3 linked regions of the Caenorhabditis elegans genome follow. The protein of the gene in region 3 purifies or fractionates together with the protein of the main gene of each other region. This does not show direct contact. Each region holds a gene or a part of one and is shown on either strand. Other genes may lie near its edges.

What was found. Proteins that work in one complex are often made in the same cells at the same time.
Region 1: the proteins of hpo-30 (region 3) and gex-2 purify together in Caenorhabditis elegans (co-purification; one study listed by BioGRID). This does not show direct contact.
Region 2: the proteins of hpo-30 (region 3) and F16H6.8 fractionate together in Caenorhabditis elegans (co-fractionation; one large-scale study listed by BioGRID). This does not show direct contact.

Annotation. Positions count from the first base shown.
Region 1 is NC_003282.8:571,165-575,784, forward strand, and holds the start of gex-2 (Cytoplasmic FMR1-interacting protein homolog), read left to right. Parts: upstream 1-1,604; 5' UTR 1,605-1,611; coding exon 1,612-1,656; intron 1,657-1,703; coding exon 1,704-1,774; intron 1,775-1,823; coding exon 1,824-1,914; intron 1,915-1,969; coding exon 1,970-2,149; intron 2,150-4,620. UniProt on the Caenorhabditis elegans protein: Required for initial steps of body morphogenesis. May play a role in egg laying and yolk protein clatherin-mediated endocytosis by oocytes during oogenesis.
Region 2 is NC_003283.11:18,213,161-18,217,874, forward strand, and holds F16H6.8 (Mediator of RNA polymerase II transcription subunit 1), read right to left. Parts: upstream 3,116-4,714; coding exon 2,896-3,115; intron 1,701-2,895; coding exon 1,344-1,700; intron 1,296-1,343; coding exon 936-1,295; intron 888-935; coding exon 517-887; downstream 1-516. Other genes in the region: F16H6.9 (BPI2 domain-containing protein), read left to right, coding at 3,924-3,942, 4,080-4,436, 4,485-4,714.
Region 3 is NC_003283.11:12,308,174-12,311,931, forward strand, and holds hpo-30 (Clc-like protein), read right to left. Parts: upstream 2,184-3,758; 5' UTR 2,170-2,183; coding exon 2,068-2,169; intron 2,016-2,067; coding exon 1,904-2,015; intron 1,860-1,903; coding exon 1,752-1,859; intron 1,337-1,751; coding exon 1,071-1,336; intron 1,015-1,070; coding exon 857-1,014; intron 770-856; coding exon 676-769; 3' UTR 552-675; downstream 1-551. Other genes in the region: srg-45 (Serpentine receptor class gamma), read left to right, coding at 52-360, 408-485.

The sequences.
Region 1 (4,620 bases), on a different chromosome or scaffold from region 3:
ACGATCGACGTCGTAACAAAATTTAAGACCACTTTAACGTATTTTCCTAGTGATTATTTTACTGGGGACCGTGTTAAATATTTTTAGTCTAATTTTTACCCTAACACTTACTATGAGCAGTTCAAATTGTAGCCAGATGTCTATTTAACAAATCTGCATAGTTTCAGAAAACAGCTAGTTTTCAACTGGCAGATATTACCTAGAACACGTTCCATATTTTAAGTCATTATTTGTAAAAACAGTTCAGTGAATAACGTCCAGTTGGTAGGCTGTGTTGCAAATTCTGTCAACTTCATAATTTTGAGAAAATTAATTTTAAAAAACTAAAAAAAACAAAGCTAAAACGTTTTAAAAATGTCACGTTTCACGCTAAGGAACATGTTTTCTCGAATTTACGTTAGAAAATCCACATTTAGAAAAACACGTAAAAATTTTTTTTCATTTCACAGTCACTCAGTCAAGCGGACAACAAGGATCTGGAGCCGGAAAACAGACGATAAGTAGGCAGGTAGGTAAGTAGGTATGCTAGGGCTATTATACAACAAAATGGAAATAGTATTAGATGGAAACAATGTTTGCGTTTGAACACTAAATCTATTGGAAAAAGAAAATAATAATGGATAATTTTTGAAGTGACAGAGCATTGGTAAGACGTGCACGAAAACAAAATTGATAATGACCAGATTGGATTTACCAACTTATTAGATAGGGGAAAAGAATCCCTAGTAAAAATTCACTAGGAAAGACGTTAAAGTAGTCTTGGATTTTGTTGCGACGTCGATCGTAAAAAATTTTGATCTACACTTATTGATCTGGCCGCGTAAAGTCGTATTTGTGCCATTCTCGCTTGAAAGGCTGTGAAAGGCAAGAATTCAACCTTTTTCAACCTTTATTGGCATTTTGTATTTTCCCCATTTTGCCCCTCTACGATCATAAAATAACGTTTTTGTCTAGACCAATGGTATAGTAGTAGCATATTCACACGACGTTAAACGGAATAGAGTTTGTGGGTGTTTCACTTAAATAGATTGAAAAAATGGTCCAAAACATAATTAATGTGACTTCTCAAAAACTTCCAAAAATGTTCTAGAGCTTAGAAATTTTTGAGAAGCCTCATTATGAAATTCGGTGGTTTTAATTCAGTTTTAGTCTTTTGAGCAAAATATCTACAAATTCTGTTCTTTTTTTAAAGTAGTCTTGGACTTTGAAACGAGACCTCTGTTAAAATAGATTTCAAAATCGATTTTTGGTGAGCCCATTCAGCATAAATGCGCCCTCATTTAAAGTCGTAGTAGTAAAATAAATACGTGTATAAAAGTATAAAAGCATAAATAAATCTTAAAATTATTCGGAATTTCAGCTAAATTCCCAATCATTAGTTTGAGTTTAGCTTTACTTTTACTTCTAGACACATAACTAGCATGATTTTTTCTTTCCTTGTTTTAGTGACATCGCGGGCACTCCTCGAAACTAGGTCCGCAGAGTGAGCGTCGGTGTTTGCGGACACAGTCACCCTCTCTCCCACCTCTACACACTCACACCTTTGATTCATTCAAACAGTGCCCCCTCCCCCCGTGAGCAATCGTTTTAATGATATTTTGCAGCTGAAAAATGAACGCAAACGTAACTGTCGACGATGCCATAAGCAATGTGAATGTGAGTTTTTAAAATAAAAAAAAGCAAACATACCAGATGTTTTGCAGCTTCTCGACACCCTCGCCATACCCGATGATTTACCCGATATTGAGGCGAGAGCTCTTCCCTTGCTCTATAGGTTTGTAGCGAAACTGAAAGAAGAAAACAAATTCAAAAATTATTTTCAGATCAAACTTCGACACAAACTTCGAAGATCGTAGTGCATTTGTGACGGGAATTGCCAAGTACAGTGAGGAAGCCACCAGGCATGCACAATTTGTGAGTTAATCGATAAAGTGTGGACAGGAAATTAGTCAACAGAAAATTATTACAGAATGACATGCTTTCTGAAGGATTGCAACATGCTGCAAATATGTACACTTGGAGATGTTGTTCGAGAGCAGTTCCAATGGCAAAGTCGAATGATCAGCCGAATCGAACGGAAATCAATGAGATGGTTGTGGAAGTTTTGAAGCCAGAAGTCAGCAAGCTCGGCAGTTTTATGCGATTTACGGTAGGTTAAATTAATTCCAAATTTGGAGTTTAAAATGACAAAAAATAATCGAAAATATTGAAACTTCAGACATTTTCGCATATGAAATTTGAAATTTATTTACCAAGCATTTTTACACAAAAAAAAAAGTTGGAAAATATGATTATTTCATACATTTCACCTGGACAGTTCGGAACTTCATTTATAGGAAATTTGAAATTCCAAGCATTTTTACACGAAAAATTAAATAATTTTACCAATTTTCAACTGAAAACTTCCATATAGGCAGACTTTTTTATACCGAAAATTGGTAAATACTTTTTTACCATAGTAGATAGTTTTTATTTTTACTATAACAACCAATTCCTGAAAAAGTTTTTAAAAAATCCTGGCTAAAAAACTTTTAAAAAGTATATTTTAATAACGATCTTCAATATATATATCAAAGTTTTGGCAAAATGCCAAAATAATATTTTGAAAGTGTCTCACATTTTTGAGTAGAAACATAATTAGAATATAGAATATTTGACCGTTTTCCAAAAACATTATCTTTAATTAGAAAGTATTTTCGAACTATTTTGACCTTCCGAAGTGTTATATCCAGAACAGGGCTGGGACTTTTTCGTTTTCGCGTTTTCGTTTTTTCGTTATTTTCGGGGTTTTGACGAAAATGTTCGAAAAACGAAAATAAAACGACTTTATTTAATTCTGGTATTTTTTCCACTTTCTTTCGAACTTTCGCCGAAATTTTGCTCTCCGGTGTGGATAGTATTGAAAAATCAATTATTTTCTTCTAAGACTCAGTACTGAAGATTAACTTTAAAAACAAAAAAGGCAACAGTTTTCAGTTTTGGATAACAATTAAAATACTCTTTTGCGTAACAATAGATTCATTCATTTTAAGACAGGACGTTTCTTTGTTTTGAGCTCCAATGTTGGGCTATCTTATTGAATGCACCGAATTTGGCTAAAAATTCATTCAAGCAACAAGTAAAACATATTTCCACAGTATCTAATAAATTTTTGATGATTTTTGAAAAATTAAAGCTTGTTGTTTCTTCAATTCAAAAGTTCAAAACACAATTTCAGATGAAAAATAGAGTTACAGTAGAATCCTTATGTTCGAAAAGGGCTTCAAGTTCTATGGCCTATAAGCACTAATAGAGAATATACGGTAGTTTGTGAAAAGTTTTCGAATAAAAATTTTGAAAAATACGAGCTTTTGAGAAAATTTAAAGAAATGTCGCATATTTCGACCCCTACGAATTTAAACAAAATTAAAACATAAAAAATGTCGAAAAAGAAATTTTTTTGGTCGACTTCCAAAACAGGGGTGTGCGGCAAATCTCAAAATTTGCCGAGCTCGGCAAATTCGGCAAATTCGGCAAATTTGCCGAGCTCGGCAAACGGCAAATTCGGCAAATTTGCCGAGCTCGGCAAACGGCAAATTCGGCAAATTGGCCGAGCTCGGCAAACGGCAAATTCGGCAAATTTGGCAAATTTGCCGAGCTCGGCAAACGGCAAATTCGGCAAATTTGCCGAGCTCGGCAAACGGCAAATTCGGCAAATTCGGCAAATTTGCCGAGCTCGGCAAACGGCAAATTCGGCAAATTCGGCAAATTTGCTGCACACCCCTGTTCCAAAATTATGAGTGGCAAAAACTGAGTAATTGCCACTTTTTGACAGTAAATAAAAATTGTTCAAAAAATTTTTGAAAAGTTTTATCATGATATTTGGTCATTATGGGACTAAAGGAGTGGGTTTTAACAATTTACCCACTGGCACTACTCCACCTTTAATGAGCAAAGTACGTCAATGAGAGAGAGGTAAATGAGTACTTGCCACCAAAAAAGCTTTCGAGGCAACATATGGCCTAAAAACTGTAAGTCCAGTTGTAGATTTGAAACAGTGCTATTTTCGTGTTCGTTTTTGTTTTCGTGTTTTAAAACGAACATTTTCGTTTTCGGTTTCGAAAATGAGATTTCGAAAAAGTCCCAGCCCTGATCCAGAAGCCTCTTTTTACAACCACATTTGCCAATTTGAGATGCAATCGCCTAGTTACAGTGGTGACCGAAATAAAATATGCGTTTTATAACTCACAAACTAGGAACTTTGAAAAGAAAATTTCAAATAACAAACTGGTGCCTAAAATGTCTTCTACATGCTGAAAATGTTTCATGATCCAAAAATATTGAAGGACAAAAGATACAGCGGCCAACACGTCGCAGGTTCATTTTTGGCCTTTTCACTTGAAACGCCTATAACTCAAGAATGATGAGTTTTCATGAAGAAGCTTTGGTGGTGAAATAGTTTGCAACTCATTTTCTATTGAATTTATTTTTTTTAAACCAGCAACATAGAGCTGAAAATTAACGCATACGTTTTTCAACCCACTGCTTACTCGGCTTTTTGAAAATCTGGTCATATTGCACAAAACAATATTTGAGCATATATTTTTAATAACGAATGTTGTAGTTACATTTTGTTTAGAT
Region 2 (4,714 bases), 5.9 Mb from region 3:
CTGATTTTAGCTAAAATGCCAAATTTTGCCCGATCAATAATCTCAATGCAAAAATTGCCAGGAAGACCAACCGAAACGACAGCACATCATCGCCAGGACCAGAACGACCAACTCTGCAGCTTGATTATTTTTTCTCATATTGCTGCCAACAACAGAAACGTGTTTGACCTTTCATGACAAAATCATTAATTTTTGTTTATTCTCTTTAAGATTTAAAAATTCTCACGTGACATCGACCTCCCCCCTCAGCCATGTCTCCATCAATCAATCGCTAAATCAGTACTCGATTCAAGTTCCACACCTGAAGTCTCGCTGTCTGCTCCATCAACTCCTAGTGCTCGTCGTTTGATTTTGATCCGTTCGTGCTCCAAGCTTAACAATGTAAGCATTAAATTTTCTCTTGCTCAGGATTCGGAAGGGAGCTAGGCCAGGCAGCTTTTCACTTTTTTCGATGTGTTTCACACAAACGAATAAGACGGCAAATTGCCGATTTGCCGAACGACAGGTCATACTTGACTAACTTGACCTACCTTTTGTGAACATTCTTTCACAAGCATTGTAGTAATATGAATCACTCATCAGGGCACCCATTGCGGTTGCAGATCTGGATCGAACTGCTTCCAATAGCGAATCCAGGAAAACTAGCAATACTTGTCTTTTCTGATCAACTTGACCGACGCTTTTTTGACAGTGAAACTGCTTCGCATGAATCAGAAGTCCACCATTCCCGGCCACCGCTACACCGAATCGAATATCAATTGGTACAGAACGCAGCCCGGTCACAGTGATGTCGACCAGATAATACTCAGGTAATTCTATGACTTCAATGACATCGAACTCCACTTCCCTGTCGGCTGGTCGGTTGACAAGACGTTGAATTATTTCTTCTGAAAAATAAGAAACTATTCATTAGTTCCATAACCAATCTGAATTACCCTTTGAGAATGTTCTATCGCACGCTTCAAAGATATACTTGTCATATATCAGATCGCCAATTGCGGATGGAGATCTTGAATGAATTGCTTCCAATAGTTGATCCAGGAAATCATTAATCACACTTTTTGTCTGAGTGACCTGACTGACTGCGTTTTGGCAGTTGAATTGTTTTGCATGAGTCAAGAGAGCACTGTTCCCTTTGACCTTTACATCAAATGCAATATCAATTTGTACAGATCGGAGTCCGGTCACAGTGATGTCGACCAAATAATATATCTCATTAATTTCTACAATACGTTTGACATCAAAATCAAAAGTTCTGTCGGCTGGTCGGTTGACAAGGCGTTGGACGATTTCGTCTAAAGAATAAAAAACCACTCATCAGTCTCATAACAAATCTGAATTACCTTTTGAGAATTTTCTTTCGCACGCTACAAAGATATATTTGTCATCTATGAATGCGCTAATTGTGGTGGCATCTCTTGATCGAATTGCTATCAATAGTGAATCCAGGAAAATGTTTATTACACTCTTTCTCTGATCAACCTGACTGACGGCGTTTTGGCAGTTAAATTGTTTCGCATTAGTCAAGAGAGCACTATTTCCCAAAATCTCTACATCAAAGGCAATATCAATTGGTACAGATCGGAGCCCGGTTACAGTGATGAGGACGGTAAAATGTCCCGCATTTTGTTTATAAGCTGTAACAATGAACTCGACATTTCTGTCTGCTGGGAGGTTGACAATACGTTCGATGATTTCGTCTGAAATATAGGAGAATGTTCAAAAGTTATATAGATACAAGGTGGATCATGATTTTGTGAGATCGTCATTCGCTAGGAATTCTCGATAGTTTACTCGTGCAATCCGAATTAAGATCGTATTCCTTGTAAAAACTAACTTTGGATAATGGCAAACATGTTTGGAACACGACTTATGTTAAAATTTACGAGACAACATTTTGTGCCTAAAACTAGGGCTCCCGCAAAGGCGCCTCCGCCGGCCTCAGCTGTCGCCGCGCCGGCCTCACGGCGTCATCCACGCCGCATGTACAATGAGGTGCGTAACCGCGAACGTCAGAACTGGTCAATTTTCTTTTAATTCAATCAGAAACTCAGAAAAATCCAAATTACGAGCAGTATGTAGTCTACTGGTAAACTAGCCTTTTCTTTCGAAATTTATACGCTCGGGCTGGAAAGAGCCTCTCATAATGGGCAGAAGCCCTGGCAAGAGGAACTTTTGACAACTTGTAAAGTAAGGGCGCTATAAGGTCATAAGCTGAATGTACCCTAATGTATAGTGCGACGCGGAACCCCGAACGTGTCGGCCGCTTCAAATAACTACCTCTCGCACATCATTTCACGCACACTGCGGCGCGCGGCTTCAGCGCGCGGCTTCGGCGCAAGGCCGGCGGGCGTGAAGCCTGCGTGAGGCCCGCATTTCGCGCCTCACTCAGCTGGGAGCCCTACCTAAAACTGAGTTTTATAACAACACATGGTGTCATTCTGTACCATTACAGGTTGATCTAAAAAAAATGAGAGAATGTTTTAAATCATGCAAAATTTGTTAAGAATTCTGACTCTGAATTTCCGCAAATCCTGGAAAATCTAAGTAGATCAAATCGAAAAGGGACACTCTGGCATTAAATGTAACATAAAGCATGTATTTGTCCAAGGGTTACTCTAACTGTGTCCCCAGTTGCACTAAATAATTTCACCTAAGCTAAGTGTATAGAAATCTGTGTAAAAACCCAGGGTTGTAAGCCTGAAGGCTCAAAAAATGCAAGTCGCCAAAAGTCGTAAGAAAGTTGATTTGACAAGGATCTATAGTAGTTTAACAGCGGGATACGGTTTATGTTAAAGTAAATGGAAGGAACTTAATTGAACTATCAATTCAATTCAAATCATTCAACGAGTCCGCATTATTCTGACTTTTACAGTGCTCTTTTATTTCACTTACCCTTTGAAAACTTTCTCTCGCATGCTTTGAATACATATGAATCAGAAATCAGGGCGCCAATGGCAGATGCTGATCTTGATCGCATTGCTGCCAACAGCGAGTCCAGGAAATCAAACAGATTTTTGGTCTTATCTACCAGATTGGGGTTGTTTTGACAGTTCAATTGTTGTGCAAAAGCCAAGAGTGTACTATTCCCTGTCACATCTACAACAAATCTCATATCAACTGGAACAGAGCGGAGTCCGGTGACAGTGATGTCGACGAAGTAATACACCTTTGTTTCTACATGCTTTATGTTACATTTAATGCCAGAGTGTCCCTTTTCGATTTGATCTACTTAGATTTTCCAGGATTTGCGGAAATTCAGAGTCAGAATTCTTAACAAATTTTGCATGATTTAAAACATTCTCTCATTTTTTTTAGATCAACCTGTAATGGTACAGAATGACACCATGTGTTGTTATAAAACTCAGTTTTAGGTAGGGCTCCCAGCTGAGTGAGGCGCGAAATGCGGGCCTCACGCCGGCTTCACGCCCGCCGGCCTTGCGCCGAAGCCGCGCGCTGAAGCCGCGCGCCGCAGTGTGCGTGAAATGATGTGCGAGAGGTAGTTATTTGAAGCGGCCGACACGTTCGGGGTTCCGCGTCGCACTATACATTAGGGTACATTCAGCTTATGACCTTATAGCGCCCTTACTTTACAAGTTGTCAAAAGTTCCTCTTGCCAGGGCTTCTGCCCATTATGAGAGGCTCTTTCCAGCCCGAGCGTATAAATTTCGAAAGAAAAGGCTAGTTTACCAGTAGACTACATACTGCTCGTAATTTGGATTTTTCTGAGTTTCTGATTGAATTAAAAGAAAATTGACCAGTTCTGACGTTCGCGGTTACGCACCTCATTGTACATGCGGCGTGGATGACGCCGTGAGGCCGGCGCGGCGACAGCTGAGGCCGGCGGAGGCGCCTTTGCGGGAGCCCTAGTTTTAGGCACAAAATGTTGTCTCGTAAATTTTAACATAAGTCGTGTTCCAAACATGTTTGCCATTATCCAAAGTTAGTTTTTACAAGGAATACGATCTTAATTCGGATTGCACGAGTAAACTATCGAGAATTCCTAGCGAATGACGATCTCACAAAATCATGATCCACCTTGTATCTATATAACTTTTGAACATTCTCCTATATTTCAGACGAAATCATCGAACGTATTGTCAACCTCCCAGCAGACAGAAATGTCGAGTTCATTGTTACAGCTTATAAACAAAATGCGGGACATTTTACCGTCCTCATCACTGTAACCGGGCTCCGATCTGTACCAATTGATATTGCCTTTGATGTAGAGATTTTGGGAAATAGTGCTCTCTTGACTAATGCGAAACAATTTAACTGCCAAAACGCCGTCAGTCAGGTTGATCAGAGAAAGAGTGTAATAAACATTTTCCTGGATTCACTATTGATAGCAATTCGATCAAGAGATGCCACCACAATTAGCGCATTCATAGATGACAAATATATCTTTGTAGCGTGCGAAAGAAAATTCTCAAAAGGTAATTCAGATTTGTTATGAGACTGATGAGTGGTTTTTTATTCTTTAGACGAAATCGTCCAACGCCTTGTCAACCGACCAGCCGACAGAACTTTTGATTTTGATGTCAAACGTATTGTAGAAATTAATGAGATATATTATTTGGTCGACATCACTGTGACCGGACTCCGTTCTGTTCCAATTGATATCAGATTCGCTGTAGGTGTGAAAGAGAATACTATACTTCTGGTTCAAGCACAACAATTGCATTGTCCTAACAACCCTAATCTGGTAGATAAG
Region 3 (3,758 bases):
AAACAAAAAAAAATAAAAATAAATAAATAAATAACTTGATTGAGGTTTCAGCCATTCATAGAAATTTACAATGTATTAATTCCATTTATGTGCATTTGTATGGCAATTTCAATTCTTTCCAATACTACAAGTGTCATATTTTTACGAAATCTGAATATTCAAAGAAAAAAAGCGGAAACAAACTTTTTACTCATAATGTCTATAACATGTTTAGTCCAACTTATTGGAACAATAATTTCTATTGCTTTATTGAAGTGCAACTATTGTTCTATGTTATCATATCTTACAATGGTTCTACCATTTGTTAGTGACGGTTTATCTTTGGTGCAACCTTGGCTGTTGATTTGTTTTAGTAAAACTGTGAGGGTTGAAATATAGTCTCAAGAATGTTATATCCTGATTTTCAGATGAGAAAAGAAATTTTGATATTGTTTGGTATAAAACCTAAAGCAACGATTCTCCAAGTACGATCTTTGACAAACTAAGTTATGAAAATGCGAGTGTATGGAAAGACACAAATTATTTTTAAAATTCCAATTTGATTTTGAAACTTCTTGTTTTACATTTATTAATTGAACATTATTTACATTCATTATTAAGATCAAATTGTTAAAAACCCGTATTTCAAAATAAAGAGATCAAATCACAGAATTTTTAAATTGAGAGCATATCAGTTCACATACTGCTGTCATCGTCAATCACTACAAATGGCCGATGTGATTGATGATTTACTCTTCCAGTTTTTAGAATTAGCCCATTGTTTTTCCATCTGAAAACCTTTATTTTACTCTTGAAAGTTGTTTTATTAGACGAAAGTTACATGTTTAGAAAAATCCGCAAATCAGATTAAACTTACTTTGTCTGCTCTCTGTACTCTTTTCGACTTGTGCAACAAACGTCGTGTGCATGTTTTGAAGTGATGAGGAAGTAGGCACAAAAAATTGAAAAGATGAATGCAGCAATTAATAGCATGGAACCAAACATATGCATGTACGTTGCAATGCCAAGACGCTTCTGGAATTTGAAAAAAAAAATAAAAAGATGACATCAATTTTTTTTCGAATTTTTACATAAATGGGTCCAATGGATCCTCGTTCTCTTCTCGATAAAACTTCTTGGTGTGGCTCAGATTGTTCTTTTGTAAAAATTGGTTTCTGATTAAAAGCAAATATGTAGATAATATCTGCTAATAAAGAACATGCTCCGGTCATAAAGACACCAACTACATAAAGTAGTGCATTTGGTGGAAAACATGGAGAACAGGAGCCAATCAGGATGGAGATTAGTCCGAAAACAAAAGTGAAAACTGCGAAGAAAATTACACCTTTGTGATGAGCTGAAATTAATTTTTTTTTGGTTTCATGAAGAATATAAAATCAACTTGTATCTTCAGTAATTTTGTGTTTGGACAGTAAAATCTAATTTATTGTTACCGCATATTCTAGATCAGAAAATACTAAATTACAAAAAATAGCATTACAGTCCTAGAATTTAAGACAGAAAATCAATTGAATTAATAGCATGGAACCAAACATGTGTATGTACGTTGCAATGCCAATACGCTTCTGTATCCAGAAAGAGAAAATTGATCAACAAATTATTGAACTACTACGCTCACACTCTAATTATTTTAAAAAATAACTTGAACCTGCATTTGGTAAATCAGTTTTATATAGTTTCTAGTTTATCTTTCTAACAAAGAAAAAAGTAAGTTTCGGCACATGAAAAGCATTAAAATATTGTTAACTTACGTAGAAACCGATGTAACAAAAGCTCTCTGGCCTCTTCATCTCCTTTTTCAAGAGCAACTCTTAATGATGCTTGAACCGAAGAATCCATCTTACTATCACATCGATCACCTTAAACTTGTTTTATTTAGAAAACAAAAGCAGAAAAAAGGTACCTCGAAGTTCTGCTTGATCTTCATGTAACGGAATTAAAGTTTCATGATGTACAATACAATCCCACCAAAGACCGTGATGATGTGATAAATGAGAACGAGGAAAATCAACTACCTACAAAATTGACATTTAAAAAAAACCAGAATTTTATTGACTAGAAACTTACTTCCCAAAGAGGACTAAACAACGAGAACGCAGTTAATATTAGCCCGGAAACGATTAAGAATATTGAAGTGACTAATAGAAATTTGTACATAATTAATGGCATTCCGTGGTTACTCTGAAAAATCTTAAACTAGAAGAATGTGGAAACGTGTTAAAAGTGCTAGTTAAAAGGAGAAGTCGTGAGTCTCGAATTTCAAGGAAGATCAAGTGGGCACTTGAATTGGAGGAATGAACGGAAGAATACGTAGAAATGGAGTGAGAGAAGGGTATTGGATTATCTTTTTGCTTTTGCAGGGTGAGAAAATATCGGAATACTTTTAAGGATGTTTAATGAGAATTGTGAAAACTCTGAAGTTTGAGGAGAAAACTTTCTTCTGCTATAAAAGAAAACAAAAGCAGCAAAAACATAATAAACCAGGTGTGTAGACACGTAAATGAATTCAACTATTGCTTCGTATCTGTTTAGTTATATTGCGCAAGTGTCCAGAAATCTCAAATGCCTTCAAAACAAGCTATTGTCCTTGACTGAAGTCATGGAAGTTATTCAGAACAAAATAGAATTTTAAACGAACTTTTTTCTTTTCATTGTCTCGTTTCTATTCTATCTCGTTTCTTAATTGGAACTCAAAGAAAGTAAAAAAAACAAATGAATGAGAATTAGAAAATGCCCAAAATTACTGACAGTCAAGATGTAAGTAGAACAAATGATGAAAAAAAAAACTAGACGAGACATTTTGGTATGGAAGAGAGCAACTTGGAAATTGCACGTCTTGAGTTCCCTTAGGGCCTGGAACAGCTGAGAATGTGTGCAAAAGATTTATTAGGTGTTGAAAGAAAGATGTTGACCATAGGAGTACATTACAAGCGTAGCCTACTTTTCTACATGTTCTGAGTTTCATTTTTATAGATTTCTATGAACCAGCCAAAGTGAGAAAAACAGAACCAATGCAATCATCAGAAAAATAAAACTCAAATTTTTATGAATTAACGCAATGAAATTACATAACAAACCCAAATAAGTCGCTTTTCGTGAAAAATCAACAAATTTGAAAATTACGAAACCCAACAGAGCCACTCAAGATTGTATCTCGATTTTTGATAGACAAGAAGATGTCCAGTTTCGAAATTTTGGCAACATTTCCGGAAGAGGGAAGGAAAACGAACACTTGACATATGGTCGAATTATTCAAAGCACACTCAAAACACATATATAAAATACAATTTTGGATTAGCTATGAGTTTATGGCATTTACAAAAAAACCAAAGCACTTGAAATTCCCACGGAGAAGAAATTGAGAAATAAATGTTCAAAGAGCGGATTTAAGTGAATGATGTTGGAAACGAAAATATAACTACAATTAAAGTGTCCACCTAGTTCAAATATAATTTGGAATATTTGAAAGGTGTAGAGGATGTTGGAACCTTTTTCCTCGAAAACTCAGAAAACGTCTCATCGAATTAAAGTTTGTTTTCATCTCTTCCCGCCGCTTCTTTTTCAATTTTATGCAAAGTCCAAATGTCAGTTTCTATTGACATATCCTTGTATAGAGGTCATCAGACTAATTTTCTCAAATTGAAGAAGATCAATAAACACTGACTTTAAGAAAAACGAATATAGCCTGACGCAAAAACAAGTGGAATTACTTTTTAGTTGGGCGTATTTTTATTTCTCATGCAGATAAGGCGATGAGG